Linked DNA regions of Drosophila melanogaster. The protein of the gene in region 4 interacts with the protein of the main gene of each other region in a biochemical or structural test. Each region holds a gene or a part of one and is shown on either strand. Other genes may lie near its edges.

Region 1 (7,832 bases), on a different chromosome or scaffold from region 4:
ACCATTATGTGCAAGAAGCTCTGCCGCCAGAAAAGTCAAGGCAAGCGCTTATTTATTTATCGGAAACTTTGTGCAAGGACACACCAGCCTCTTTTAGGCTCGACAAAAGTGAGTGTGTGAGTTGGTGGCCCTAACATTTGGCTTTCGCCTGAGGCCACAGAATGACCCTCAACCCGAATCGTTGCTAATTGATTCAACTTGCCGCCCCTGGGCGATGATCCAAAATGTTACGTGCTGGCAATTGAAACACTGCAGCCGAACAGCAATCCAGCATTATCAATTAATGGACACATTAGAGATGGATGGATGTGGATGGATGGTTGGTTAGTGGATATGGGCAATGGCCATGCAGAAGCATTTGCAGCTGACCTTTGGCTCAAATAAAAGAGAAAGAGGCATTGACGAGCCACTGGATTTTATGTAGCTTCGGATGTGGAAGATGCTTTCCAGCCCACACAACACAGCGCAACACAGCACAGCACACAGCTTGTATCTCTGGCAAAGTGCGAAATTGTGAACACATTTGAATTTTTATTGATGCTTAGCTCTGGCTTTTTTTACTCGCGCCAACTGTGAGCGGACATAAGTAGCATTGTAAAAATGATGTCTTGCCTTCTACGTACAAGCTGGTGTTTCTTTTGAAAAGCATTAAAATCGATGGAAAACAAGCGACAGCAAAAAGTGGTCATTGCCACCGAGCGTGTGGCTCGATGGAGCGGGGAATGGGTGCGGTCCTAGCGGTACAAGTCAACCCAAATGGGCCAAGCGGTAAAATGCTCATACGCCCTGTGGCCAACATATTATGTCAGATTATAAATAAACATTTATACGGATATCTATAGATACCACTTTAATCGCAATGTATTTAGAGAATGTCATTGCTATTTAAAGATGCGTAAAAATACTAGAAATGAGTCAGCTACTTCCTTTGTTTATTAAAATTCTTTCGAAAGTAATCAAAGCTAGCTAATTATTCAGAGAGCAAAATCTGGGGCTCAAAGTGTACACTATCCAAACATAAACATCAATTAGAAAGTTTGGCCTGTGCAGAAAAATGCGTTAAATAAGTGTATACAAATAAATGCGAGCAAGAGTTGCGACAAGCGACAAGCGACTGCCAAACCACAATAACAACATCGGGTTTGCTAAGCTGCAGCTTTGTGTGTTATCACACGATATCGCACAAAGACGGGCAGCATTCGATACGGTGAAAACAAGATATGGTTTGGTGATTGATTGAATATTTTCCACCAGGTAATCTCTTTCTTTATCTCAGAGAGCAGAGCAGGGCAAACGAAAGATGTGGGATTAATGACATAATTTACAAATCCCCGAACGTTTTCATTGACTTGCCCAATACCCGTAGCTTCAGTGAATCAAAAGCAGAGACTAAAAATATGAGAAATGGATTGGTAGTGCCTTTCTGAGTGTCTTCAAAAGGGGCCAACTGCCTTAACCAGCCCACTGGTTGCATTACTTTGGCAGAGTTCAAATGCATTTGGAAATGTTTTGTCAATGGAAAGTTGCGAATTAGCAAAGCGTGAATTGCGAATCGAAATTAGCGATTTTCCCATGTTGTGCACACCATAATTATCCGCACAACGGCCGCCGTTAAATGACCACATTCCAAGTTTCCACTCCAATTTCAGGGCATTCTTATCGCACTTGGCATTGGCCGGTGATTCGCATTGGGCGGGCGGATTGATAAGATAAGGTTCGTCTGTATTTCGCCTCAAATACTATATGTACCCCCACTCTTATCACGACCCAATGGGCCAAACTAATGGTTTCTCTTTCGTTTCGCACCACAATCGGCTTTGGCACCCCAATACTACGAAGGAATAGAGTTGGAAATAAAAAACTAATCAAGAAGTGCAAACAACTGCGCTTGTGGCCTATCAATGCCGGCTCAAGCCGTTTGCTGATAGAGGCTCTAAGAAATGCTAGGTAAATATTAGTAATGTTAACAAAGTCTAACAAATTGCTCTAGTAACACTGGCCAGCACATTCGGACTCTGATCTGAATGAATATTATTTATTCCTTATATACTCCTAATTTCTTAATGAGCATTTAATACGAGAATAGTGCCCAATAAGTTGTAACCTACATATGTATGTATGGGCACCATAAAACATCTGTGTAACAATGATTCATCTTGTTTTTTTTTTGTATAGTACAGAGAACATTAATCTAAATGGTTATCTGCACTGACTCAAGTAGACTTTCCAGCAAAAGAGTATGTCTTTCAATCAAAACCAAAGCTAATAATGTGTACGATACTCCCATGCAAGTTTTATAGCTGACCAACTAACTATAGTGCATAGAACTCTAATTTTGTTCACAGTTTAGCTTCCGGTGCCATCTTTAAATGGGCAAAGAAACCATTCAACTATGTTGGGCAGTGTGCAAGTGAAATTTGGTAAATATGACAGGCAGCTGCCCGTAGACCGTAGAATGATATTATGATATAGGGTTACTGTGCTTCGAGTGAAATTCGCACACGATGGGCGACACTTGAGCCGCAGGAAGTGCTTCATCAAGCCGTGGGATTTGCTCGGCGAAGGCGGAGGAACACAAACCATGTCATTGCTTAATTATTAATCACCCGATTGGGGGCATTATGCATCATCAGTACTCGACTCACCTGGCACTTCTTGCCCAGCAGCTTGAAGACGGCCTCATTCTCCTCCTGGGTGAGCAGCGTACTGGCGGCATTGACCTTCGCCCGTGGACCGTCCTGCGACCTCATTCCGCTGCTCATCTGGCCGGTTTCGTTGGATCTGGGTCTGGTGCTGGATATGGGGATCTGGGCTGGTTTCCCTGCACAATACGGACACAATACGCATTTTATTGTGTGGCGAAAACAATACGCAAATGAACAAAAGCTAAATGTATTAATTTAATATCACAAAACGCTGGGGACCCCGAAAAAGTAAAAAGTTCATAACAATAAAGGCACACGGAGTAACAGTTGAACTTCGATAGAGTGAACAAAAGTTTGGGATCGTAGGGTTGACGATACAATATGAAAAGTTTGAGCTCCCATAAATATACTAAAGAGTTCAGAAACTGTATAATATTTAACGTTTAAATGAATTATTGCAGTCAACGCCTTCGAATATAAAAAGATAACTACACTTGGATAGGCTGCCTATTTTTTTGTACAGTGTACAGCTTGTAAAAACTCCGATCTACAGAGAGTTTGAGCAACGGAGTCCGAAGTGTGTTGCGAATAACCCGATTTGGGATCGAAGAATTATGGTTTTGGGACTGCTGAATCGATTGACAGTATTGTCTTTACGGTTTTGAATGGTTTTCAGCCCGAATTACGGCCAAGAGCGCGAGCGAGAGAGACCGAGACCTGCGCTGGCTATGACGATGTAGCTGGTTATGGTGTCGGCGGGGCTGCGAGCGGATCGCCTGGTCTGAGTCACGGTGCCCGAGAGTCGGAAATCAGAAGCAGAAACAGAAACAGTCAGCCAGCAAGCCAGCCAGCTGCGTTTGAATGTGGGCAAAAGCCAGGCCAGTGGCAAACTCTTCGAAAAGAGCCCTTATCTTTGGCGAAAAGCACTGATTAGGTGTGCGCATGTATCTATGTGTGATACATGCACAGTGGTCTGGGTTACTCAACATTCGGCACTCGCCACAAGCCACCAGCCAATCCACCCCACTGTGCGCCACTCCGTAGCTCCAAGATTTGTGACAACACCTGTCCGTCGTCGCGCCAGGTGGGGTGAAAATGCAAATGTAAATAGACAGACGCTGCTGCGGATTGGGAGTAAGTTCATGGGTTGGGTTGGTTCGGCTTGGATGGGATGGGATGATGTGCTGCCCTACTCAAGGTCTCGAATTTCCCTTGTGAGCTGCTCTGCTGGGGGGGTCGCCCATTGATTTTTTGCGTTTATTTTCGTGCACTGCTCTTCACTCTTTCGTTTTTTTCCCACACACAACACAACACACCACAAAATCTGTGTAGTCTCTGGCCTTGCGGATTCCGGGACTCTTATCGGGAGGCTCTACTGTGCGCGCGTCCGCGTCATCGAGTGCATGGCGTTGAAAACGAGTGTTCCTCGGTTGATTATTCGTCTGTTCCCGGACGCAATGCTAGTTTGTTTATTCATTTATTTTTTTTCACTCCAATTCAATTGCTGCCAGTGTGACCGACCGAAAAAGGCGATAGGCTAAAAATACTATCCTTTCGATAATTTCCTAAAATATGCATCAAGCTCTGCCAAGGCCCTGTGCAGACCATGCTCGAGACTTTTCAATTTTGCCCATCACTAGTTCCGCTTAAAAGTTTATCAAAAAGTTTCAGGCAATTCCGTTAAGAAATCGCGAGTGGAGAGCTGTGGGAATAGTATATTTTTTCATTTATGTTATCTTTTCCGTTAAATTTGATTTTGTTTACCACGCCCGTAAATTCGAATAAATATTTGTTCATCTGGCTTTCAAAATATGTTTTATTTTGATATAAATTATAATCGAGTAAATTCACATTGGTTTAATTTTTTGCTGACAAAAAGCATATTTCGATTTATTCATATTGAAAATGGTTAATCGCATTGAATCGGTAAAAACTAAGTCGCAAATGATGAGCTTAATGCATAAGCTGTTTCCTAAAACAGTTACCCTTAACTTGCTAAATTATATAAAAGAATACTTAAAAAGCAGTGACTAAAAAATGTGAATTTCTTCTCTCTTCAGATATTTGGTGTTTGCATAAGGAAGCCAGGGGCATATTTTAAACTTAGAGTATATTCTCAATAAAGATGTGCAACTATATGATTGTAATTGATTTCAGTAGCTCACCAGTTGGAGGACAGCTCATCTAACTAAGTGTTAAAAAAGTTAAATCAGAACAGACATTCGACTTGGTAAACCTTTCCTAGTTAATGCGACAATCGAATATATAGCATTTATATATATGCCAGTATACATTTTGTATATATTGGGTAGTTGTACACATGTTGAAAGGCCTGATTTTGTGTATATATATGCAATACATTTGGCTACACACGATCGGGAGCATCGGGAGCTTCCTTCTCTGACTGTGATTTGGATAAGTTGAAGTTACTAGGAGTTTGCGCTAACTCTATGCTAAACTGGTTGCTTACAAAGTTTTAGGGTCTACGTATAATGTATAAAGTAAAAGGAGAGTAAAATATGGATTACATAGCGTATGTATATTAACTCCTATCCTAAAAACTCTTTGATTTTGACTCTGACTCTAGCTCGGCTTGTGGATGTGGACCTGTGCGTGTTCGGTTCCTAAAAAATGCTTGACAAATACAGTCCTGTTCCTCTTACAATCTCCACTTCCGTTTTCGCTTTAACTTGGCTAATTTGTGATCCATACTATCCTGAACAAATTAACCCTCTATTTCCGCGCGCCCACCACTGGCAGCTTGGACTTGACTCCTCCAGCGGTGCTGGGGGTATTGTCAAACGTGGAGCTGCGCAGGAGCGTCGGCTTGGTTCCATTTGCGTTGAGCATGTTGGAAGATTTGGTTTTCTGCGTCCTCAGGTTGGATGACGATTGCTTGGTTTTGGCCTCGTCCACTCTCTTCCAGATGTTGGCGATACGACTTTGCGCATGGTTGATCTTGGCCGCAGCTGCTGCGGCTGCACTGCTTCCATTTAGGTTGGAGTTGCTGCGGGATGGTGGAGTAGTGGACGACACGCGGCCGGAGACCACACGTGAGGCAGCGTGAGATTTGCCCGCAGCTAGTCGCAGACTGGTGTTTGCCCTTTGAGGCGTCATTCGGCGGGCCGGCGCCAAGGGAATCCTCTTGGGAGAGCCCGCTTTCGATGGTGACCCACCGCTGGCCGTGCCTTTCTTTGTGGGTAACTTCGAGGCGCGGTGAGTGGGACTGGTTTGAGCCGGTTTTGTCTCCACCACGGGCACTTGAACATTGGAGTTAGTGGGCTCGTCCTTGACAAAGGTTCCCTGGCGTTCCAAGCGTGCGGGTGCCGGCTCAGGCGGCGGCGTCGGCTTCTTTTTCGCTGGTAACCTAACTCCTGAACCGCCGGGCACCAGACTTCGTTTGGCAATTGTTGGAGATAGGGTTTTCTTCTTGGACGGGGCGGCATTGTTGCTATTCCGTTGACTTTGCATGCTGTAGGGTGAGACATAGGCTGGTTTCTTGCGACCTCGCACCAGTTTTACGGCCGTGGCGGGCTCCAAGGTTGTGGGCTTAACGACTGATGTTCTAAGGTCCACAATTGACGGAGGAGGAGGCAGCTGATCCGGTTCCTGACCATCGCACGACTCCGTCTCAGAGTTCTGATCGCACTCCGGGGATTCCCCTGCGTCTTCTGGATGATCAGTACTCTCGCAAGTCTCCTGACTGTGTCCAATGTTAATGTCCGTGATGAAAGTGAACTGTTGCATCATTGCTCGAATTGAGGAGAGCTGTTCGCTTGGGCAATCATCGGGTTGGGGTTGTATCAAAGCCAGGGGACATTCAATCAGTTGGGTCTTGTACCGCTCCGCACTGCCCCTTCTCCTTCCATTGGCGCGTGGCGATGGCGTGGCCACAGGAACGGCAGCTTCCACAATTTCTATCTGCAAAGTTTCATTGGCCTCTGGTGCTTCCATCTCGCAGCTGGTGGCTATGGTGTAGGTCTTGAAGCGATCCTTTGTGAGACGTCGCTTGTCTTTCGGTGTGAGGGAACGACGATTGGGTGATGGAGTAGATCCGTGCTTGGGTGTGGACTCGGCCGAGCTGTAGTCATTCATTGTGGCATCCTCATCCTCGTCGAAACAACTTTGGAGCACGGTCATCGTCTGATCATCGCAAGCAGCCGTCTCATAGTTGGACACGGAAATGGTGGTGGCCATGCTGCAGTCCTGCTCGCCATCGGCCACCTCAGATTGAATGCTGTCCACACTGATCATCGAGTCCAGCAGCTCATCCATCAGTGACGGAGGCTTGATGTTGTCCAGCAGGTTGCAGCTGGAGTTCACGCTCTCCGCACTGCCAGCTAAGTGACCCAGTGCTCGTCTGGCTACCAAATTGGCTGGAAACATTTTTCGCGCGAAGCGTGGACTCTTGCTGGGCATCGCCTGGCGCAGAGAACTAGGCTGGGAGTGATCCTGGTAGCAGCTGTTCAGCGATTCCATTCCCGACGGCGGACGAATATTATCCAGATCCAAACTGTTCAAGCTGAAGGTCATCTCCGTGGTGTCATCGTCAGTGGCAGCGGGCTGGAGTAGATTTTCCGCCAGAGCTCGCGCTTCGAACGCAATCATGGTCGAGTTTGTCATAATGGAGGCACTAGTTCCATTAAATAATAGTCTTTGCGGCTCCAATCTAACGCCAGCATTCTGCACCTGCCCACCCAACTGGAAGTTAAGACCTCCAGACGATCCTGAGTAGCTATCAGCATGACCATTAACCAGGGTATCAGTTTCCCCTTCGAGCGATTCCGGTTGCTGTTCATTCGTGGGCGTTATCTCAATCAACTCGTGCAGGGATCTCGCCTCCGTGGCATCTTCATCCAAGCTCAAGGAGGCCAGAACCGGTGCCGTTTGACTGACGCTGGGGAAACTCACATCATTGGGACAGGTGCTCTCGTTCCAGGTGTTGTTGCTACTGTTGTTCTTGTGGCTGTTGCTGCTGCTGTGGTTGTGGCTGCTGCTGCGCAACTGCTCCGCCGACGTAACAAACTCCATGGTCAGTCTCTCCACAGACTTCAGCATCAGGTCGGGATCCTTGTGCTTCTCGCTTGCTCCGGAGATGCACGTTTCGTTGAGAGCACTGTCCAACCTGACCATGGTTTCCATGATGAAGGACTGATTTGATTCATCGCTGGATCGATCTTCCGAATC
Region 2 (7,623 bases), on a different chromosome or scaffold from region 4:
CAGCAGAGTATAAATCAGATTTTGCAATTAAGTCTTCATTGAAATTCAGGCGTAAACTGTAAATTTATTATGGCAGCCACGAAGATGATAAGGGAACCGTGGTGCTCCCCCACTTGACTGACAGATTGTGCCAATTTCCCCACTTATGGCGCTTCAGGGGAGGACTAAGTGCAGTCGCAATCGAGGAACTTCGAACTCCGCTTCCTATACATACAAGTATCGCTAGTGAAATACCCATACATATATGTTTAATTGTTAACAGCATCGAAAGGACATTTGCTGTTAACTTTTGAAGCTTATATGCACATCCTTCTATTACTCACCTTTCTGCGTCCACAACAAAGCATTCTTCGCACACGCGAATTTCCAGTAGCTGCTTTCAATCGAGTAAACTTCTTCTTCCACTGCATTTATTAGTGGGGATCCGATTGGGAATAGCTTCCTTCGTTCCTGTCCTTCCTCTCGCCGTGGGTGGGGTTTTGTTTGAAGGCAACTTCTGTTAATTGCCGTATTTGCTTGCTGGTAGCTGTGGCATTTGGTCAATGCTGAACCCGTCCTTTTGGTTCCTTACAAAAATGCGATATAAAAATGCAAGTCCGGGTTTCGTTGCGAGTTGAGTGTTCCTGCAATCGGAAAGCGGAGGCAGTAATGAGTTAAAGAACGAGCTCAGAGCCATAAACAAGTATTTACTGTAATATGACTGTCAACAAGCTGGCACATCTACTCGCCACTAGGACGCCTCATGGTTCGAGGTACAGTGGGCCACGAATGACCGTAATTTATAGATTATACTTGTGCGTGAACAATTCAAAAATTTCCGGATAGACAATCGAGAAAATCTTGACAATAACTCATTATAAATTGTAAATAATGTAAAATTTTAGAAAATATATGCTTAGTTCCCGAGTAGCCAACGCAAATATTCCTAACTGTATCGCTGGGTGTGTCTGACAGTGTGTCTCGCAATGCCTAACCTAATGAAGCTTTACACTTTGCGGGTTCGCGGGTCTGAAGCCACGAGCCTGACATGTGTCATATGCATTTGCCTGACAAGGCATTCGAGCACTTGGACAGTTCTCGTCCCAACTGCTCCTGCGTATTATGCATATATCGGGTAGATGTCTGTCTCTGATTTTATAGCGCTGATATTGCAATCCTTAGCGGACGCCCTCCGTAAATAAAAAATAAAACAATGTTTGCTAAGCAATGCGACTGCGGAGGAGGGTGCCAAAAGAAGGGGAAGAAAGCAGAGGGACCACATTGATGGGACACTGTGCGCTACCGCATGTAATCTCCCAAAAAAGTATGCTACAAATTTTTACATGTAACTATATTCCACTTTTTAATCAAAAGAAAAAAATGCCTATATTAATGCTAATATTAAAGTTTTAAACATTAATTACATCTAACCAAGGACACATTTCTTGCATTGAGGGCTTTTTAGCGAATGTGGGCCACTTCTGGTTCTGGTACATCCTTGGCAAAATGCGCGCTCATTCCCATAGCTGTATATTTATGGTAATGAAGCGGACCAGCCTGGCCTTTGGGCTAATTGTGTTGGCCCAGTTTTCGTTAGGAAGCTGAACTTGCTTTTTGCTAGGCCCTTGTGAGGAACATTTTCCTTCGGATCCTGTTGAGGACTGGAATGGCTTATACCAAAATAATAAAGGCATGGTTAATTCCTTTCTAATATCTTCCTGTAAAGTGAACAAAGTAACAGTCCTTTGCCCTCAATAGTAAACTTATGTTTTTTATTAAAAATGGTGTCTGTTTTGTTTTAGTAGAATGGAAAAGAGATAGGGACACAAAAAATTGTAGGAACACTTATATATATCATTCATACTAAAACAGGAGCCAATAACAATCAACACACAAGGGCTTAACATTGAGTGGCCCCTATGCCATCCTCAGTCAGATTATTCATCATCATCATCAGGATGATCACTGTCATCGACATTAAAGGAAACCAGTAAAGCCTTGGATGGCACATTGCCACAACTCCAGATTTTTTTCCAGAAAGCAGCTTGCCTTCCTCGAACGCCTCCTCCGTTGCTCCCGCCGTAGTAATTGCAATGAAAAATGTTACAATCGTGCACAGGACATTCAAATGTACAAAGAAGAATGTGGAGCTATGTCCTCACGAACATGTCAGGGGGTCCAGCTGCGTCACTGACAACTGATTTCCTTGCCAGTTTTCAACGCTAGTTCCAGTGATGTCAATGACTATCCTTACGGACGATAAAAGTCTTAAAATTGTACTCCGAAATTTCGAAAAAGAGGAAATATAGGAAATACATTGAACGAGCAATACTGGAATTAACATATATGTTAGTGGATAGAACCAGATATTTTGCTCACAGAGCTTAAACAGCATCACTTCCGGGTGTACTAGGTATGGAACGGAAAAATGTCTATTCATAATTCCTTTCTAGGAAGCGGGGAGCTGCATGAGCTGGAACATGTATATACAAGATACTTTGTGTCACAGTCGCAGTAGCGACAGAGAACAGCCGTCACGAGGAAAGATGTTGCCTGGGTGTTCACCAACAGCAGCAGCTACACCCATTACCACATCGAGAACAACTTTACCAGTCGCCAGTCGCCGGGAATGTTGTCTAGGCACGCATAAAATGTATTATAATGACATCACAAATTGAGCTCGCTATGTGTGTCCATAAATGAGTGACAAAGCTTGCCCGCACTCCATTCCAGCGGCAAAAATAGCAAATAATTTATCAAATAGCAAAAAACGGAGACTTTCCGCAGCAAGCAAGTACATCAGAATCCAAATATTACGAAATTGTCATAAATAGTGAAAACCGAATTTAATAAGATATCGATATGAATTTTAAACTTTAAAATTATTTTTACTTGAGGCAGTGCTACAATGACGACAGGCAGATTTATCGATTTCCCTCTTTGGGCTCAGTTGTAACCCCATCATGGCATTATTTGGTTTGGTATGGTTATTGCTGCGTTGAAGTTTATCCACAACGCCACATCCCCATGAGTCCCTTTTCCACACTTTGACTGGTTAGTAGCACCCGACAAAGGAATATACATCGAAAGAAGAAACACAGACCCACCACTGGGGACCGTCGGACCCTAACCCGCAAACCCACCATCCCACCCACACCCACTGGGCTTTGCCGCACGCTCATGCGACTGCACACCCACTGAGGCAAAAAAAGGATACTCTTTCTTTTAGAAGTTATATTTATCGGCTCAGCTTATAATTGTAACGCGAAAAGGCCCCACAACTGACTCGCAGCTCTTGACAACCGATATTACGATCATTTACTTTTCAGATCGGATCCCATTATCTGCATGGTAAAACCCCAATTTTCAGTGCAGTCGCTTCGCGCCATGTGGTCCTTTCTGCCGGTGCTCAGCTGACTCACCTGACGACTGTGCAACATGCCACCAGCAACCCGCAACTAGAAACTCGCAACTCCGAATTTGGAGCTCCCAACTCGCCATTTGGACGACGGATAGAAGTCGCATTAAAATGCCAAAAATATGCTCGAAACCATAAAAACTAGCAAAGTTGCGGGGAAACTGTGAATTTATCTAATTAGTGAGGGCAGAATCAAAAAGATGGAATTATGGCTGCACAGAATGGAAGTCGCCATCCACATGTTGTATTACAGCTCGGCTTATACCACACACATAAGGACCAAACAAAATAATATGCAATTTTAAAAATAACTTTCTGTTTAAAGATTTTCTATATGTGAACAATACTGCCTTAAAATAAGTTAATAAATAACAACGTAAATTAATACAACAAAAAGTACCAAGCGATTTTAATGGTCTCTATGGAAATCCATTTTTGGCTACCGTAAGAGGCTTGCTATCATTTTTTTTATACAAGGGGCTTTAGTTCTAACATAAAATTAAGATAGTTGTGCGGCTCAGCTTTTTTAAATTATTTGTATGGTATGGGGCTCCACACAAAGTTCTCTGTTTGCTGGTAAATTGGAGCAAAGCTTTTAGCTTGGGGGTAGTTTGGCGGACTGAAGGGGCGATTCGGGGTGTAAAAAGTTATGGGGGCTTTGAGCATAAAAAGCGTCCAAACAAGATTTTTGATTGTTAATGTCGCGGTAAATGTTTTGCTTTCTGTTCCTCTCACCTAGTCGTATATATCCTAGATCTTCATCTCTTGTGTGTAATAGAGGAGATCTTGAAATAATTTGCTGCTGGAATAGACACCGCTTATATTACATTTGCTCGAATTGATTTGACGATATGCCATGTTTTCTTACGATTAAATTGGAACCTCCACCTCCAATGACTACAATGAATGATGATAGCCTATCAGAAGACGTTTCCTTTTCTTTCAAAAGGTTTTTAGTAAAAGGCAAAATAACGCTAACCAACAAAGCATTAGAAGTTCTGGAAACAGGATTTGTTTTAACAGAAAATTGCGCATAATCACACTTGCCACAAATGATCGCTTATTCGAGTTGTGGGAGCCTTATCAAGCACAGCCGAATTTGATAGCGACAAGGTCATTTCCTATGATGGACTTTTCACCCTTCAAATAGTTTTTTAATTAACTAAATGCATAGCCGCCAGTGAGTTTCCTGGATAGGTCCCTTTGTTGAAAACTCACCTGCACTGTGGAACTGCGTTTCTCCTGACGTCCTAATGCTTGACGTTTTGCGTCTAATCCGTGCCAACGGCTACTGCCCAAGTTATGAAAACGTGAGATCACAAATTGCAAGGGACAACTGGGGTCGGGTTGAAGAGGGGCGGAGGTATGGGAGTGGGCTAGTTGCAGTCACCGGTCGTAAATGTGTGCCGCGTTGTGAAAAGGATGCACTTGCTCTCTATGGTAGCTCTCTCTTGCTCTCTCTTTTTCTCTAAAAATGTCTATCTCTTTCGCTCGCTAGCGTTACCTTTTATTTCGGCTTTGATTGGTTTTAATTTCCGCTGAAGCTGCTTTTACTTCCGGGGCAGTAAGAATGCGAATGCAAAATGCAATTGGCTAGGTGCAGGTTTTTGTTGTTAGAGACTTATCGCTGATTCGGTGGTCAATGGCTTGGGATTTTGAGAAGCAGTACATCCTTGCAGCCTCTCTTTGCTCCTTTCTGCACCGTCTTTCGTTGCCTTTCGTTTCGTTTCACACTTTCGTCGCATTCACGGCATCCCATGCAACTTTTTTGCTGCGGCATTTTTTGCGTAACTTGTGAGATAATTTCAACATGTTTTTGGTTCCCGGAAAAGGTGCAATTTATTTTTTGGCCTTTTCATTGATCTGTGCGCGAGAGTGCTTGCGGGCGCGGTGTGTGGGCTCGCGGCAGGCGGGTGTGAGAGTGTGTGGGTGGTGCGGGGAACCCGTAGCGGAATGCGTCCGTGTGGCAGCGCGAAGCTTTCGCAACTATGCGAATTTCCTGAGTAGGAATTTCAGTATAATAAAATATCCTGTTCCTCTTCTAAGTCGAGAAAGAGAGCAAGAGAGCGCTAGTTATTCTGCGCGTGCGCCACGAATTGGAGCACTTTAATGCTGGTGGCGATAACACGGACATGGACACATCACCAATACTCGCGCACGTACACCCACCACCGCGGTGGAACTCCTTCCCTCTCACTCACTCCAAAACTTCCTACGTTTTTTTCACTGTGCTGCGCCGCTTGTCCTTTTGCTTTTCTCCGATGTTAAACGACACTTTCGGTTGTTTTTCAAGCTTTCTTATCTTTTCGGACCATGGGCCGCGCCTTTTATTGCGTTTTTACGAAGCAATTGTGCCTGCATTCGGTGGAAAAACTACAAAATATTATTTGATCGGAGGAAACGAAACACTCGCAGCAAGCGACGAGAGCGAAATGCAGCGTGCAAGAGCGAGACTGCACCACAGTCAGCTTTTACCGTTGCACGCAGCGTTGATGACAAGGGAAAGAAATAAGGACGCATGCGCGAAAAATTTCTGTTGGTCGCTTGAAGAACAGTATATACCAAATATTGGTTTCGGTTTCAATAAAGAGAAATTAAATGGTAAATGTGTAACAAAAGGAAAAATTTTTAAATATTTAGATTACTGTTGAGTAATAGTTGGCAGCTATTTTACACACATAGATGGCGTGACGGTTACTTTTTACAGAACTCTGTTACGTTTGGAAAAACTCTAGAATCTGTGAGATCATACATTTTGGTATTTAAACTATTTTAGCAACTGGTAACACTATTCGACACCGGTGCCATCAATTTGGGTCAATTTAAAAGGAACTATGTTTTTGCATAACACAAAGTTTTGCAGACTGGCAAGTGAGTATACGAGTGGATACAGTTCCCACGACATTCCTACATATTCCCCAACAGGTGGTCTGGCAGGAGGAGTGCGCAACCTGAGCGGCCAAAAACCGAAGACCGCGATCCTAATGCTGAACATGGGCGGTCCGACCCACACGGACCAGGTGCATGACTACCTCCTGCGTATTATGACCGACCGGGACATGATCCAGCTGCCGGTGCAGAGCCGTCTTGGTCCGTGGATCGCCCAGCGCAGGACGCCCGAGGTACAGAAGAAGTACAAGGAGATCGGCGGTGGTTCACCGATTCTTAAGTGGACCGAGCTGCAGGGCCAGCTCATGTGCGAGCAGTTGGACAGAATCTCCCCGGAGACAGCACCTCACAAGCACTACGTCGGTTTCCGCTACGTGAATCCCCTCACTGAGAACACGCTGGCCGAGATCGAAAAGTGAGTGTAGTCGAGAAGTAGAACAAGAGTGATGTAAATAATCCGAAGGTCGTGAAATTGACCTATATATATTGCTACGGACTCTCACAATAAGATATGTTCTAGTAAATAAGTTTGTATAGACTTCTGACTTCTTATGCATGTTTCAATGTCCTGCTATTATCAGTTGACTTCTTGGACAAATTACTGAAACCTAAACCTGGAAATTATGGTCATTTGCGCTACTTAAAGAATACATGTTAATATTTTAACATATTTACAGGGACAAACCAGAGCGCGTTGTACTCTTTTCACAATATCCACAGTACAGCTGCGCCACCTCCGGATCCAGCTTTAACTCCATATTTACTCATTATCGGAGCAAGTGAGTTAGAAATGCACAATTGCAGCTATTTATTTGATCCCCTCTACCTCTTTAGTAATCTGCCCTCGGATATCAAATGGAGCATTATCGACAGGTGGGGCACTCATCCACTTCTAATCAAAACGTTTGCCCAGCGAATTCGCGACGAGCTGGCCAAATTTGTGGAAACGAAACGAAATGATGTGGTCATCCTCTTCACTGCCCACTCCCTTCCCCTTAAGGCTGTGAACCGGGGTGACGCGTATCCCTCGGAGATTGGTGCTAGCGTACACATGGTGATGCAGGAACTTGGTCAGACGAATCCCTACAGCCTGGCATGGCAATCCAAGGTGGGCCCGCTACCCTGGCTGGCGCCCGCAACTGATGATGCCATTAAGGTGTAACTTTAATGCCGGATTTCCATTCCCATCCACTAAAACCAATCCCATCTTTACAGGGCTATGTTAAGCAAGGCCTGAAGAACTTCATCCTTGTGCCCATTGCCTTCGTGAACGAGCACATCGAGACGCTGCATGAGCTCGACATCGAGTACTGCGACGAACTGGCCAAGGAGGTAGG
Region 3 (7,486 bases), on a different chromosome or scaffold from region 4:
TTACAACCGATTTCGTAATATCAAAATAAATGCCGGCAGCGTGTTTTTTGTAATATTCGATTAGTGATGAGCCGACGCAGCTGCTAATAATCGATTAGCAGTCTATCGGTGCCGCTCTTCTTCTTTGGTTTTCCACTTGGTTTTGGTTTTCTTGTGGATATTTTTGAGCAATATTAAATTAAAACCATGTCGCTCTTGCAAAAACTAAGCAGATCTGGTGTACCGATGGCTTCATTAACCTGTCGTTCCCGAATGCCAATGGTCATTCGACTTATCAGCGGTAACACAGAAAAACCGGCGGAGGAATCTACTCCCGCAGTGAATACGGAAACGGCGGAGATTGGCAGCAGCAAGGGAGGATTCGCCCGTGCCTTCGACAAGTACACGGCACCAGCCACGCCTCCACAGCTGCCGGAAGACAACCAGACCTTCGCCTCCCTGCTGCGCAACTCCAAATTAATTGATGTGGGTACATTATTTAAGTAATCCCATTGTTTATGTAATAACTTGTTGATTTCTGGAGCAGCTGGACAACGCCGAGGGCAAGGTGGTCAGTGGCAAGATCTTTCATGTGGTGGGCGATGATCTCTACATAGACTTTGGTTGGAAGTTTCACTGCGTCTGCAGTCGTCCAACACGCAATGCCAGGTGAGTTCAATATAATTTCCTGTCTCTTTATCCAATAAACCGCCTTTCCTACTTCAGCGACTATGTGCGAGGAGCCCGTGTTCGACTGCGCATCAAGGACTTGGAGTTGTCCACCAAGTTTCTGGGTTCGTCCAAGGATATTACCATTCTAGAGGCAGATTGCCATTTGCTGGGTCTCCTGTCCACGCCCACCCGCCAGTCGACGGCCAAAACAACGCCGAAAATCGAAGATATCCTATAAATCCTTTATTAAAACCAAGGTTTGTTAAACGTTACGTCAAGTCTTCATCCTCCTTGGTTGTGAACTGGAACACTTCGTAGTGATGGTTGAGTTCCCGCACCGAATGCAGTTGGAATCTCGTGGCTAGAGCTCCGTTTTCAGAGTTCTTAACGAAAAATACTCTTTTCGCCCTGCTATGTACCAGGGCCATGGAGCACATAAGGCAGGGTTCCTGCAGCAGATAGATATCGTAGCCGGTGCACAGATAGGGTCCGAATTTGGCCAGGTTATCTGCTCCTTGAACTGCGTCCACTTCTTTGCATTCTCTCGACTTTTCCGCTCCGAATGTCAGGTCTTTGTAGTCTTCATTGTTCATCAGGTAATCGTAGTAGGCTTTAGGAATACCCCGCAGAGTGGTATCCTTCTTGAAATCTTCGGTGAATGTAACCTCCGTTTTTGTGGCGCCTCCTTCTTGACTGCGAGCCACAAAATCGACGAGCATCATGCAGCAGTGCTCGTGCGGCCTACAAACTTCACCAGTTCCAGCAATGGACACAATGCTGGGTTGTCGCGGATCCACGCAGATGCCCACCGGACGATTGGCATTGACATCCCGCGAGAGCCTCACAAGCAATTGCCCGATCCTTTTGTGAAATGTGCGTTGTGCGGAGCTAAAGTTGCTGCCATTCCTCAGTGACTCCGAGTAGTGATTAGGGTGAAACTTGCAGGGCCAGTGCTTAAGGGTCTTCTCGTACTGCACCCGCAGTCGGGGCATCCGTTCCGGCACCTCCACCACCCGGACTCCCTGGCACAAAGCACGGAGCACGTGCTCCGAAAAGGCAAACTGTTCAAGGTGTTGTTCCAGGCTTTGAGACACTCCGATCTCTGAGCTGGGACATATGAGCACGCTGCGATCCTGGACGCGCTTTAGGTGTTGAAAGTGGGGCAATTTCTGTGAGAGCTCCTGGATGACCGCCTGGAGCTGCTGTTTCGTCTCCAACTCGCAACTGTGCGCCTTGATGAGCGCAATATCCTCGTCGAACTCATCGGAGAGGATGGCCCGGATCCCAGTTATGTCTTCATCCAGATTGGGTGATTTTCGAGCACGTTTGTTTGGTGGCGCGGATATATCCATTATTTACTTAATTCTTCAATTAGAAGAATGCCAATTGGAATCGATTGAAATAGGTTATCGATAAGTGCCAAGCGCTGGCGTTGAAACAGCTGTTTGGATATTAAGCGCCAACTTTGAAAAATGTCTTCTATTTAAAATATGCATTTAAAAATAATTTAGTGAAAGATTATACGTTTAAAAGTCTTTAAAGCTATTTAGCTTGGGAGCTGTTTCAAATATTTCCTACTTTTGATATACATTCCCTAATACTTAATCTAATCAGCTCAATAATCTGATCAATTGTCTAATTTGCATTATAATTCCTTACAACCAATATCTTTTTTGATGTCTACATGTAAGCAGTGCCCAGTCTGATACCCAAAGTTTAAATTCAAAATTCCAGTGAAATATGTGCTTGTGATTTCTAGTCAAAACTTAGAGGAAACATCGAAATGTGTCTGCGCTTGTTTTGCGGCTATTTGTCGCTTTACATTGGCTGCATCTTCATCGGCTTCACGGGGATGCTTCTAGCTTTAATGGTCTTTTCTGTGGGTCTATTCGAGATGATCAAGGGCAATCCGGAAACAGTGCTTGTGGTCATGGCAATGGTCTTTGGCATTGTCCAAGCCCTAGCTAAAATTCTTCTTCTCCTCGGAACGATGTGGGTAAGTGAATACTTTTATCCTTAAATTTGTAAAGATATCCAATCGCTGTTCTACAGGACATGTGCTGGGCCATGCTCTTGTCCTTTTTTATAGGTATTGCGGCCCTGGGGCTCCTCATCGCACTTGTGGTGCTCTTCTACATCCTCTTGTGGGACCCTCTGCACCTCCTTCTGGGCGGTTTTCTTAGCATACGTAAGTTGGTGAAAAAATTTTGAATTTCTTTTGGATCTGAAAACAAAAGAAGATAGAGAAGTAGATTAATACATTAACTATCGAGAACTTCTTTCTATAACACACACACAACATATAACACAAACAAGCAACAAAACGTAGTGGACTTAAAAAGTACATAAATTCTATTCACGTTCGATTTTTAATTAAAATAATATTTTTCTCTTATCCAGTCGAGATGTACTACGAATGGGTCATCATTTCAACCTGGTGGTGCTGTCGATCATGCACCCACGACTGCTAGGAGTTGCAGTTGGTTCCACTTGTTGCATGCATAGAAGATACAAACATACCATGTTGGAGATCGAACGCCTTGGAATGAGCATACTATGCAACTCTCAGCGATCTTCGCATCGGATGTAATACTGTGAGCACCGAGAGAGAGAGAGAGAACTTGTATTCGAATCCCCCCATTATTTGTGTATGAGGTGACTTCGTGCTCGGGTCTTCCGACTTGAGTGTCTTTCAAGTAAGTCAGTTCACTCTGAGACGCGCGCTGGATATGTCGTTCCTGGAGCGCTCGAGCTGTTCCTGCGAATGAGCGTGTGTGTGCCAGTGTACCGCCCCCTACCCGTCAAGAAAAAAAAAAGGAAATAAAAATATCGGCAGGAAAAATATCAAAAATTATATCTGAAAATACACAAGTGTATCTGCAAGTGCAGTCGTATATGTGAGACGAGAGTGTTTTCCATTTGCCGCAATTAGAAGTAACGGTGCGAAGGTGATTTGCACGGGAGAAACTGGAAAATCAGCGAAGCGCGAGATACTTGTATCTGCAATTTGTGTGTTTTCGTTTTGTTTTCGGTTTCGCAAATAGCAAGTGAAGAGCCCATTACTTTAATTCAATCAACGATCGGTTGTTGTGTGGCCCGCTTTTGGAGAATCCCCACAATTTGTTCTAAGCCCAAATAAAAGTAATAAAATAAAAGCCCCAACCCCAGAGACAGAAGTCCGTGAGCCGGTTTAGTCATCCGAAAGTTCCGAGAACTGAGCGCAACATTGAGATACATTCGCGTATTCTCATTCCGAATCGCTGGACACCAGCTGTTGGCCACAATGCCTCCGTACCTGCTGGATATTTGCCTTACCTCGGAGCTTAGTAGACCGCGATAAGATATCGGCGACTAGTGGTGAATAAAGCCAGATACTCGTACTCGAAACTGCGAAAACGTCCATATACGACAAACAAACGGAAAAGAAAATCGCACAGTTCGGTGCCAGTGTTTAAAGTTAAATCGAGCGCTTATCTTATCGGCCAGCCATTGATTGAGCTTTGCCTTTCCGCTCTGCACCGGGTGAAGTCATTTGGCCACAATTCGCCCGTTTTAGATACTGTATCTGCGGCCATATCTAATGCAGCAGCCAAAGCAGTCGCGATAATAACGACCTCCTTCAGTGTCAGTTGCTCTGCAATCGCCGTCTAAATTTAGAGACAGATCAGGCGCGAGGGACCAGATCTGGCCAAAACCAAACCAGACGCACTCGGAAATCGTAAATCAAGCAGCCGGAGGAGACCAAGATGGACATAGAATCCGATTCGGACACCTCGGAGAGATGGGAGGACTTTTTTGGTAAGCGAACGGGATCACTGAACTTCTGCGTGCAGAAATGACATGACTCAGCGGGCTGGGGAGGTGCACTGAGGAAAAATCACGTATCAATCACAGATAGAGACTAGTAATATTGGTTTTCAGCATTTCAGACGACATTAGTCTACATTTTAATAATCCGTCATTGAAGGCATAAGAACATACAAAAGCTTAGGGTACTATATGTTTACAGTAGGATTATGAATAATATACATATGTCCCGATCTTATATTTCTTCCTGTGTGGGAGACACTACGCATTCTCCAAGAACTCCAAACTCCGAATATGGACTTGCGTACAAGAACAGACCATCAAGTTGGCTTTCTTTGGCTCGGCGGGTTGGGGGATGGTGATGGAATGGGGATTGCGGCTGGTGCTGGGACTGGGACTGGGGCCAATGCATTTGGTGGATCGACGGCACCGTTCCGTTCCCATAACTGTACAAAAAGTGGGGGGAAAATAAAATAACAACCCACTGAGTGGCATTGCGTGAATTGCGGTGTAACGGGTTCGCTTTGTTTTTGCATTCCGCTTTTGCGCAGTCCGAAATTTTTCGACATTATTTAAGCGCTCGAAAAGTCGGTTGTAATGAAATTTAATGATAATACATAATTTCGGGCCATTTTGACCCACATATTACCATACAAGTGTGGCCAAGAAAAGGTCTGTCTTCGGATTTGCAATTTATGTTTTGGGTGGCTCCATTCGGTTTGCTGACCCACTTAATTCGTAACGCCGATTTGCTTGTAACTTTGTGGCACATGCTGCATATTTGTTTTTCTTCTCACCGAAAGCTTTCGTTCAATTAAGTGCATTAGTCATAAGTCTTGACACTGCGTTTCTTTTGTTGACTTTCTTTATTATTATTGCACGCCCGCTAACAGCGGATGTTAGATAACGCCGCCCTTAGCGCAACAGCGCTGTAAGTAGCTCTGTTAGTTAACCCATGTTAGGCCAAAGAAGGTTTCCAAACTTATAATAATCAATAGTAATATGTATATGTAATAAGTAATATGTATTATCATACTAATTGCAAGTAACTCTATTAAAACTGTAAAACTGAATTTAAGCAATCTTTTGGCCAACACAATTCCAAACCAAATGTGTGAAGAGAGAGAGAGAGAATAACTAATTTAGTTAAGTACCTTCAAAAAACTGCCCGAAGAAAATAGTTTAAAACGGGTTAAGATGGTGCGTCAATTATTGATAACGGACACTGCGAATTCAGCAAGTGGCCTTTGTTATATCAATTATATACACATACATGAGTAGGGCGAATGAATCATGTATAGGTGATGGGGGGGTGTTGCGGCATTTATGGGTTTGTTCTGCTGATCCCACCAGCTTAGACATAGACGATTGTGCAAGTGGTTGACATTTGGCGGGGTCAGCAAACGTGACGCCATCTGTCGGCCGCATGTCCAGGATATTACCGATCGCATCGACCTATAAATAGAACCCGCCGAATGATATCGCCAGCAGTTGACCGCATGCACTATCAAATGTCACCAGTTCGTCTTCTTTTGCCCTTTCCGTCACCGTGTTTGTTTGCCTCTTCAACAACAGAGTCAACTTCAATTCCAGACAAACAAACAAAACGGGGGAATAAGAAATTTTCATCTGTGGACACAAGTGCATGAGCGCAAGGGGGCAGGGTGCCAGGTCAAGTCGTTGAATTACCACTCGTAACCACAAACACCACGGGAGTCTGTTCATTCGATATTGTTAAAGATTGTGATCTGAGGAAACCTTTTTGGGCCCTGCGGTTCGCCATCGATTCTCTTGTGACATTTATTTGGCTGGCCTGGCTTTCATATTTGGTTTATTCAATAAATACTAATAGATATCGATGGTAGTAGGGCTAAGGCGTTGATAAGATTTCGCCGCATGTATTTATTGACTTTTTGATAAAGCCGACAAGGCCAGCAGTCACAGACCTGTTCGTACATTTTTGTGGCATGTGCGTGGCGGCCAATCGAAATACCCAAAAAGTTAAAGGGGTCAGTTTTGCAGTGCTCCACTTCCGCTGGCGCGGGGCCTAAGGTCCCAATTAAGGCAATTGACAAAGTTCATCTAATTAACCGCTGCCATAGAGTTCGGTTTCATAATCGTCGGGTTCATTGGCCAATTGGATGTTAATGACATTACCTCACCCAGTCACTGTTGTCGTAGTTTGCAGGAAATGCCCAAGTCAAGTGTTGGGAACAGAACTATCAGTAGTTGAAACTTTCTCAAAAAAAGTGACACATTTGTAATCTAGTTGTGGTATTTTGATCAGTTTGCACGTTCTTGAGGTAGAAAATACATTTGGGAATCCCACTTTAACCAACAAATGGAGCCAAGTTGGCACCACTGAGACGGGGCTATAAGTCTTGCCCCCTAATTGCCTGCATCCAGACTCTGGGATTTTGGAGTTGGAGTTGAAGCTGCCGTCATATCCGAGAACCAGACCAGACCTGAAGTGATCTGTGTGTGGGCCGGCAGTCGGCGTTTGTCTGACGTCTGACGACGTTTGTGGACGTCCTCTCAGCACCCAGCACCACGACGGTTCTCTAATTGCATTTCTCTCAGTGCAACGGCTTTTGTTGTGGGCGTTGCAGAAGGTCGTAAAACTCGAGTATTGTGCACGCACGTCCCAAAAGGTTTTTCTCAATGAAGTTTGAAGAGTCTGTCTAGTCATATACCCTTACCAAAATGGGCATTAGGAAGTTGTAAACTTTATAGACTGAATAAATTTTTTCAATTAAAAGTTCTAATTAATAGTAATCAGCACATAAAAGATAATGGATTTCTTGTTTGCATAAAAGTGCACATGTAATGCGTTTCAATTAACCATATAATGAAGCTTTTATTAATATTTAACATTTTTATGATAGCAAGCATGTTATTATAATACTTCTTTGGATTAAGAATAGTGCTTTCAATAGTTTTATTTTGTGTCTTGAAAAAATGTTTTTGAACTTCATATTTTCTGGAAGGGTATATAGATATCTGACTGACTGTCCAGAGTCCTGCACAA
Region 4 (8,150 bases):
CTTCATACGACACAATTGCTATTACCAATTTTGGGCATTGAAACAACTATTATTATTATTTTATATTAAATAAAAATTGCATTAAAGTATAGTTAAGAATTTGGCTCGTGTAAGGGGCCCTAACACTAACGGTCCCACGATTTGCTGGTTGTGGTTTCTATCGGTGCCTGGTCACACTGGCCATTATGCATGCACTTCGTAATTTTGCCGGCAATGGAATAGCAAATGTATTTGGCTGTGGGATCAGGCGCCGGCTCAGCTATGTCCTGGGCATCGAGACCTCCTGCGACGACACGGGCATCGCCATCGTGGACACCACGGGCCGAGTGATTGCCAATGTGCTGGAGTCGCAACAGGAGTTCCACACCCGGTGAGTGCTCACATCTCCGCATGCGGTGCCCAATGATGAACTGAATCGATTGCAGCTATGGAGGCATTATTCCGCCCAGGGCCCAGGACCTTCACCGCGCCCGCATCGAGTCCGCCTACCAGCGCTGCATGGAGGCGGCGCAATTGAAGCCGGACCAACTGACGGCCATCGCGGTGACCACGCGTCCCGGACTGCCGCTGAGTTTGCTGGTGGGCGTGCGCTTTGCACGGCACCTGGCCCGTCGCCTGCAGAAGCCCCTGCTGCCCGTTCACCACATGGAGGCGCACGCGCTGCAGGCCCGCATGGAACATCCGGAGCAGATCGGCTACCCCTTCCTCTGCTTGCTGGCCAGCGGCGGCCACTGTCAGTTGGTGGTGGCTAACGGCCCCGGTCGCCTTACGCTTCTTGGCCAAACACTGGATGATGCGCCCGGCGAGGCCTTTGACAAGATCGGTCGGCGACTACGCCTGCACATTCTGCCGGAGTACCGCTTGTGGAACGGAGGACGGGCCATTGAGCATGCCGCCCAGCTGGCCAGCGATCCGCTGGCCTACGAGTTTCCGCTGCCACTTGCCCAGCAGCGGAACTGCAACTTCAGCTTCGCCGGCATCAAGAACAACTCCTTCCGGGCCATCCGAGCGCGCGAGCGGGCAGAGCGGACACCTCCGGACGGAGTCATCAGCAACTACGGCGACTTCTGCGCCGGCCTGCTGCGCTCTGTCAGCCGGCACCTGATGCACCGCACGCAGCGGGCAATTGAGTACTGCCTCCTGCCGCACAGGCAGCTCTTCGGTGACACCCCGCCCACACTGGTCATGTCCGGCGGTGTGGCCAACAACGATGCCATATACGCCAACATCGAACATCTGGCCGCGCAGTATGGCTGCAGGAGCTTCCGTCCATCGAAGCGGTACTGCTCCGACAACGGCGTCATGATCGCCTGGCACGGCGTTGAGCAACTGCTGCAGGATAAAGAGGCCAGCACGCGCTACGACTACGACAGCATTGATATCCAGGGCAGCGCGGGATTCGCCGAGTCGCACGAGGAAGCTGTCGCTGCGGCGGCCATAAAATGCAAGTGGATACAGCCACTGGTTTGATCACTAGCCCCTGTTGTGTTTTATACATTCTTACATAAAGTTACAGATGAATCCTTGTTCGTTGTTGAATCCTGTTTGTCTGATTTACAAATTAATAATATATTCATAATATTTTTGAGTGTGTGAGTTCTTTGGCGCTGCAGAGTTCCTACTTGCTAAGAGCCACCTTGCTAGCTCTGGTGGCTTCCGAGATCTCGACGTTTATGCTGACGAACAATAGGACATGGCCAGATAATCAAAATATAGTTTATAGTAATGGAAAAGCTTTGCCTCCACCTGTTGGCCACTTTTCCAGGAACGTAATAACTGATATGACGACAGGTCTTTATCACGCGAATCGATATAGAAATAAACAACCACAAATGAATCACAAATGCTATATAAAAATCACAATTGCATTGAATTTATGTAATTTTATACATATAAAAAGTACATTTTCGCTTGTGCATCTTTGGTGGGATGTTCCCTTTTTTTTTTTCATTTCAGGCAAGACAGTGAGTGGTTTCGTTTTGGATTTCGTTTTATTATAAGATATTATCTGAAATCAATAATGTTAAATCACTAAGGTCTAGAAAAAAAATGTAAAAATTGATAATGTGTACATATAAAAATATTAAAAAATGCATTAGTTCTTATTTTCCTTTCATCTTTTGTCGTTTTTGTTTTTTTGCTGAACTACAATACAAATGTTTGTTGCTGTTGCCGTTGTTTTATTGTTTGTTATACTTTATGGATTATACATATTTAAATATATATATATATATGTATATACTTTTATATAGATTGTAGATTTCAGATGTGTGTTTGTGTTGTGGTTGCAACGCCTAGTTCGGTTCTCGCATCTCTTGCTGATCCTTTATCTCCTCCTTTAGGTTCATTTAATTTACTTTTAATCATATTTCAATACTCATACGCTTAGTTTTATTACATAATAAGCTTCACTTTCATATCTGCATGCTAGCGAATTCCATCCGACCTCCGCTGTTTAAACATTACGCGATCAGTTATCATAAATATTTAATATAATTCTCGCACGTTGCTCCTTTCGGGACAATATCGACGTGGATTCCCGCGGATTTCATCGACTGAGGCAAAACGAATAAGTGCATGGTTCTTTTCGAATCGCCCCACATTCTGTTCTGTTCTGGATTGTTTTTTTGTTTATCGTAAATGTATATTTTTTTTTTTTTTGCCTCTCCTTAATCTTTGTATATATATATAAAGAAATATATATATATATACATATATATATATATATATTTATATATAAATCATTTGTTTTCGCTATATTGATATTGTGGTTCCTCTTTTTACTTAATTCGAAAATTGCGCCAAAAACATGTTTGGGAGCAGAAATGAAGTCGGCTGGGTTTCGATTCGATTGGCTGCGATTGGATCCTGGCGGGGATTGGAGCTGAAGCTTGTGGGGCGGAAGACTGTCCCGAGTTGGGGGCAACTGCCCAGCCGCCTGGTCACAGTGGACCAAACATAGAAACCGACCAAAATACCGGGTAGGGATTAGAGCTCTGGAGGCTGGAGCACGGACACTACTGACACAGATACGCGGACGCGCGTAAGTGGAGACACAGACGGTGTGTGAGACAAAAAGAGTAGAGTGGGAGTGGGGACACAGGCGGATGGCGGCGAGGAGAAATAGCTCATGGAGTACTGGGCTAATGCAGAATAACGTAAATCAAGACCAATATATATACATATATATATATATATGTTATATATATATATATACGGCTATATATTGAATGCTTCTCGACGACGGGAGGCTGGGAAGGAGTCATTGCGATAGTAGAAAGCCAGAATGAAAGGGATACCGCGTGTGAGGAAAGCAGAATTATAAGAATTTGCACTTCCTTTTCTTTGTGGGCTCTGGTGGCTCGAGGGCGGCCAGGATGGCCTCGTCGAATACATTTTTCAGGCCCTTCTGTGTCAAGGCCGAGCACTCCACGTACTTGACGGCCTTCAGCTCCTTGGCCAGCTTCTCGCCCTGCTCCATGGTGATGGGCTTCTGCTTGTTCTTGGCCAGCTTCTCCAGCGTGCTGTTCTCGTCGCGCAAATCAATCTGTGTGCCCACCAGCAGGAACGGCGTCTTTTGGCAATGGTGTGTAATCTCGGGCACCCACTGCAAATGCAAAATGACTCACTTACAGTCTCGCCATGGCGTAGAATAGTCTTGTACGTACCTTCTCCTTGACGTTCTCGAAGGAACTGGGACTGACCACCGAAAAGCAGACAAGGAAGACATCCGTCTGCGGATAGGAGAGCGGACGCAGCCGATCGTAGTCCTCCTGTCCGGCCGTATCGAACAGGCCCAGTGTGTAGGGCTCACCGCCGATCATCACAGTGACCGCATAGTTGTCGAACACCGTGGGCACGTACTCCGACGGGAACTTGTTGGTTGTATACGAGATGAGCAGGCATGTCTTACCCACGGCTCCGTCGCCGACGACCACGCACTTGATGGTTTGCATGTTGTGCAGAGGGGTGATGACTCCTGCGGATTAGTGGGGGTTAGTTTGCCGGATTACACTGGGGGGATGACTAGTGGGTGCGGCTTCCCTGCTCCTGCTCGTACTCCTGCCAGAGTGACCGTTCGCCAGCGGCGCCTTATCAACGAGGAGGAGCGGAGCCCAGGAGAGCGGGGCGGCAGTGTGTGTGCAATGTACATATGTACATATCTGGGCAGAATGAGCGATGACTCAAGCCGAAGAAAGAACGGAAAGAATGGAAAGCAACGGCGCACACAGATAAGCCGGACGGGCATCAGAAAATTCTGATTGGACACACATACACGCAAACACTTGCGCGCAGGGGCGCAGCGAGTACGGCAGCTTGCGGTTGTGTGTGTGCGGTGCGTGTTCACTTGGTCTAATGCAGTTTTTGCTGCACTATTACTGGCTTTATGATGGTTTATTTGGTCACGGGACTGGCCGCCCAGTCAGCTGCTGGAGCTGCCCCCTGTTTTTAGCTATAGTCGGATTTTAGACGAGATTTGCAGACAAAAAACTAAAGAAATTTGGAAGCAATTATTTATCACACACGCACACTGCGGCACGGACCACACGCACATATGACACACACACACAGGCAGGCAGGCCCGTCATCGACATTTGGTTTTCATTCACTTTTCACTGGGCAAATTGAAACGCGTTGCGATCTATACGGCGGATGCTCGTTGCGGGCACCTTTTCCGCCTTACTTACAGTTATTTAAAATTTGCAACCGCTGTCGAATCCGTTTAGTTTTCCGCTTTTCTGGGCTGGGCTCGATACGTACGGAAAACTACTATTTCCTTTTGTGTTAGCGTTCTCTCTCTCCAGCGAGCTCTTTGCGTGCGAGTGACTAGCGCGGCGTTGCCATCCCGTCGCAGTACTCCCACCCGGCTTGCATCGCAATCGGTATGTTGGTATTTTCGGTGGAAGTTCTCTGTCACTGTAAGGGCTATATATCCGACCGATCGGGCAGAGCGGGACCAATATACTGCATACAGTTGCGGTAACAATAATAAGCGGATTTCGTGTTTGTCCCAGTGTTTCTGTATTTTCTGACACTTTTTCATCATTTTACTCACTAAACTTAAATACTACAATGATTTTCAATCGAAATAAAAAAATTAGTAACAGATCTAATGGATAAAATAATTGGTAAAACAAAAAAAAACCTTCAAATTTAGGCGGTAACAAAAATAGCACTGTTTCTTGTAGTTTGCCAAAACTAAATAAAAAAATTTTTTAAAAAATTTTTAAAAAAATTTAAACAAACGGATTATATCTTAAAAACTATGTTTAAAGAATCTTAATATTTGGTTGCGTGACCTATGCTGGTAATGACAGCTGGACATCGTCTTGGCATGGACTCCACCAAGTCCTGGCACTGTTTTTGAGGAATTTTGCTTCCTGAATCCTTGACCACACCCCAAAATTCCTCGTTATTATTGGGTCTGGCTTCAGAAACCCTTTTTTCACGTCCGCCCAAAGGTTTTCGATTGGATTCAAGTCGGGTGACTGAGCAGGCCATTTCATTACTCGGATCTACTTCTGCTCAAACCACTTTGAGCTTTCTTGCTCGTGTGTTTTGGGTCGTTATCCTGTTGAAATGTCCAAACCAACGGCATTTCATCCTCGGCATATGACAGTAAATGTGCTGATCCATGATGCTTTGAATCCAATGGATTGGAACTACTCCATACCATGAAAAGCACGCCCATACCATGATGCTTGATCCCCCGTTTTTTACCGACTTAAAGGTGAAGCGAGGATTATATTTAGTGGTGGACGTCGTGGTGGACGCCGAACATAAGACCGAGAGCCTTTCCCACCAAACAACACAATTTTGATCTCATCTGACCACAAAATGTTGCACCACTTCTCCATAGGCCAGTCCTTGTGTATCTTGGCATATTCGATTCGCTTTGCCACATGCTTCACAGTCAAAAGCGGTACTTTTTTGGGGCTGCACGCATTAAGGTTGTTTTGTCTTAAGCGTTTGCGAACTGTTTCCACGCTTGCAGCTATCTGAAGCTCCTTCTTCAGTTCCGTCGCCGGCTTAAAAGACTCCTTCTTGCTTTGCCAAACCAAGCGCTTGATCTCCACGTTGGACATTGAGGGCTCTCTTCGCCGTGTTTCCTTCTTTTCGACAAACAGCAGTGCTTTGCGGATCATTTTGTTTGAACAACCGACAATGCGACCAATTTCAGCGTAGGTTTTACGTTCAGAAATCATGTTTTTAATCAAATTTCTTTTTTCGACGGTACAATGCTTTCCGCGACCCATGACTAGAGAATTTTTTGTCTTCGTTTGGAAAAAATTCAATTAAAACCTTTATTGCAACTCCTTTTTTCAAAATTTGTCGAAAAAAAAACCCAAAGCAATCACTCCTATTAATTGTATTCAGCAAATACGTGATCGGTGCTATTTTTGTTACCACAGCAAGTGCCCAAAAACAAAAAGAACCGTTACATTGAGAGAGTAAAAATTTCTTGCTCAGAGAGACAACATATGGTTCTTATTATTCATGCAATCTGACTTAAAAAAATAAAACATTTAATTATTTTTTTTGGTAAATCAACTTTCCACCTGCAGTAGTGTTATTATTTTAACCGCAGCTGTATTCATCGTGTCATCGTGAAGTAATTGTTGGGTATAAAATATTCTCACTTGGCGCTATTTGTCACTGAGACAACTTTTAGATTCACTTTATCCCTCCCTCCCAAAAATATTCTATTTGTTTGGATACAATATAATCTCGGTTTTCTTAACAATATCTGCTGTTTGGGTTGGCTATTTGTGATTTCCATTTAAGAAAAAACAAACCTCGATTAGCGGTATATTTAGCACAACCCATTGGTATATCCCACAGCCAATTTCGAACTTCGAGGCAGTCACACTGGTGGATGTCGCTGCTGTGAAACGGGGCAGGACAAAACAATTGACCAATAGGAACCGAAACCAACACACTGCACTGGCCCCGGGATCGGAATGGCTGGATTCCTGAAGACAAGGTAATCACCTTGACCAAGGTAGTGAGGTCCCAGCGCTAATCAAACGCACACCATTCCTCCACAGAAAGCGCAGCCGGGAGGATGAACTGGCCTGCGAGTCGCCCCTTTCGAAGCGCATCAACAACCTGAATCTGAACTACGAGGATGGGAACAGCAGCAGCAGCAGCAGCTGCAGCATTCCGCCACTGTCGGGAGGAGGAGCGACTGGTGGATCCGGCGGGTCCGATGCAGCCGGAAACGGTGTGGCGGCCGGATACGAATACAACCCAGAACTGGGAGCCGAACAAAACCCATTTTACTACGAGAAGAACAAGATGCTGTACGACCTGCATGTCGAGCGCATCAAGCGGAGCAGCCAGTAGCTAGTGATCATGGATTCCGGTGTGCGAGTCCAAGTCCTGGCACAGCCATTTAAGTGCCAACACGAGTTATCTGCAGCAACACTCTCTCTAGGTTCAAAGTAATTCGCCTCCGTTCAGTCTTCTCTGCGCACGGATTCGGATATCCGTGTCTGGAGTCACTTGCGTTTGTGTGATAAGCATTGTTTACTTGCATGGCATTAGCATCACCCCTGATGCATACACATAATAATAGTAGTATAAATTGAGCTAAGAGTCCCCCAAACACGCACATGAATATATATAAACTATGTTCATCGGTTACCATCCCTTCAATATGTATTTATAATCCTGCATGTATAATTTATTCTAAGAATAATGTAAGAAAACCTCCATATCTTTATATTTTCCTATTTCGATGAAATACGATATCCAGGGGGGTACAAGTTCATTGCTGAGTCGGTGGAGATGGAAAATAAGCTACAGGGACCTGATAAAACGAAAGCTGGACTTATTCATTGTTTATATACGCATCTGCTGACATGGTCATTTTGCTTATTCCGAGAATTTAAGCATGGACCTGCAATACAAGAATACGTCCAATAAACATTTACATAGTAATACATCTCATCCTTAGACAAATCTTTAAAACAAATATTGCGCTCAAGGACTTCATTTTCCCAATTCGTGACCATTGACAGGGTGGCAACTCTATATAGCACTGTGTTATTTTAGTTAATTCATCTTTCATCAAATAGCTGATCAAATCTATTTCGCAGCATTCAAAAATTCGTATAACTAAAAATGAGTGTACAATTTGAAAAAAC

Evidence for each region.
Region 1: of the proteins of Cdc42 (region 4) and WASp, one has a biochemical effect on the other in vitro, tested with the Drosophila melanogaster proteins (one study listed by BioGRID).
Region 2: of the proteins of Cdc42 (region 4) and RhoGAP100F, one has a biochemical effect on the other in vitro, tested with the Drosophila melanogaster proteins (one study listed by BioGRID).
Region 3: of the proteins of Cdc42 (region 4) and GEFmeso, one has a biochemical effect on the other in vitro, tested with the Drosophila melanogaster proteins (one study listed by BioGRID).

What each region holds. Positions count from the first base shown.
Region 1 is NT_033777.3:28,827,857-28,835,688, forward strand, and holds the start of WASp (WASp), read right to left. Parts: upstream 4,169-7,832; 5' UTR 3,962-4,168; intron 3,458-3,961; exon of another isoform or gene 3,363-3,457; intron 3,285-3,362; exon of another isoform or gene 3,138-3,284; intron 2,822-3,137; 5' UTR 2,763-2,821; coding exon 2,646-2,762; intron 1-2,645. Other genes in the region: Apc (APC-like), read right to left, coding at 5,379-7,832.
Region 2 is NT_033777.3:31,810,819-31,818,441, reverse strand, and holds the start of RhoGAP100F (Rho GTPase activating protein at 100F), read right to left. Parts: upstream 5,834-7,623; 5' UTR 4,616-5,833; intron 624-4,615; 5' UTR 411-623; coding exon 324-410; intron 1-323. Other genes in the region: FeCH (ferrochelatase), read left to right, coding at 6,232-6,268, 6,323-6,701, 6,964-7,065, 7,121-7,442, 7,502-7,623. UniProt on the Drosophila melanogaster protein: GTPase activator for the Rho-type GTPases by converting them to an inactive GDP-bound state. Promotes the anchoring of Liprin-alpha clusters at synapses. Recruits and keeps Nrx-1 levels high in active zones in the presynapse opposite the postsynaptic region.
Region 3 is NT_033778.4:18,607,644-18,615,129, reverse strand, and holds the start of GEFmeso (guanine nucleotide exchange factor in mesoderm), read left to right. Parts: upstream 1-3,352; 5' UTR 3,353-4,397; coding exon 4,398-4,449; intron 4,450-7,486. Other genes in the region: mRpS28 (mitochondrial ribosomal protein S28), read left to right, coding at 187-465, 527-648, 706-889; CG10927 (uncharacterized protein), read right to left, coding at 921-2,003; CG42697 (uncharacterized protein), read left to right, coding at 2,435-2,647, 2,704-2,839, 3,052-3,122.
Region 4 is NC_004354.4:19,693,764-19,701,913, reverse strand, and holds Cdc42 (cell division cycle 42), read right to left. Parts: upstream 4,824-8,150; 5' UTR 4,762-4,823; exon of another isoform or gene 4,689-4,761; intron 3,980-4,688; 5' UTR 3,957-3,979; coding exon 3,669-3,956; intron 3,608-3,668; coding exon 3,320-3,607; 3' UTR 1,976-3,319; downstream 1-1,975. Other genes in the region: Tcs4 (Threonyl-carbamoyl synthesis 4), read left to right, coding at 186-370, 426-1,470; CG14229 (uncharacterized protein), read left to right, coding at 6,963-6,985, 7,050-7,347. UniProt on the Drosophila melanogaster protein: Regulates mbt kinase activity and is also required to recruit mbt to adherens junctions. Together with mbt and Frl, regulates photoreceptor cell morphogenesis. Together with Frl, has a role in the neuronal development of mushroom bodies.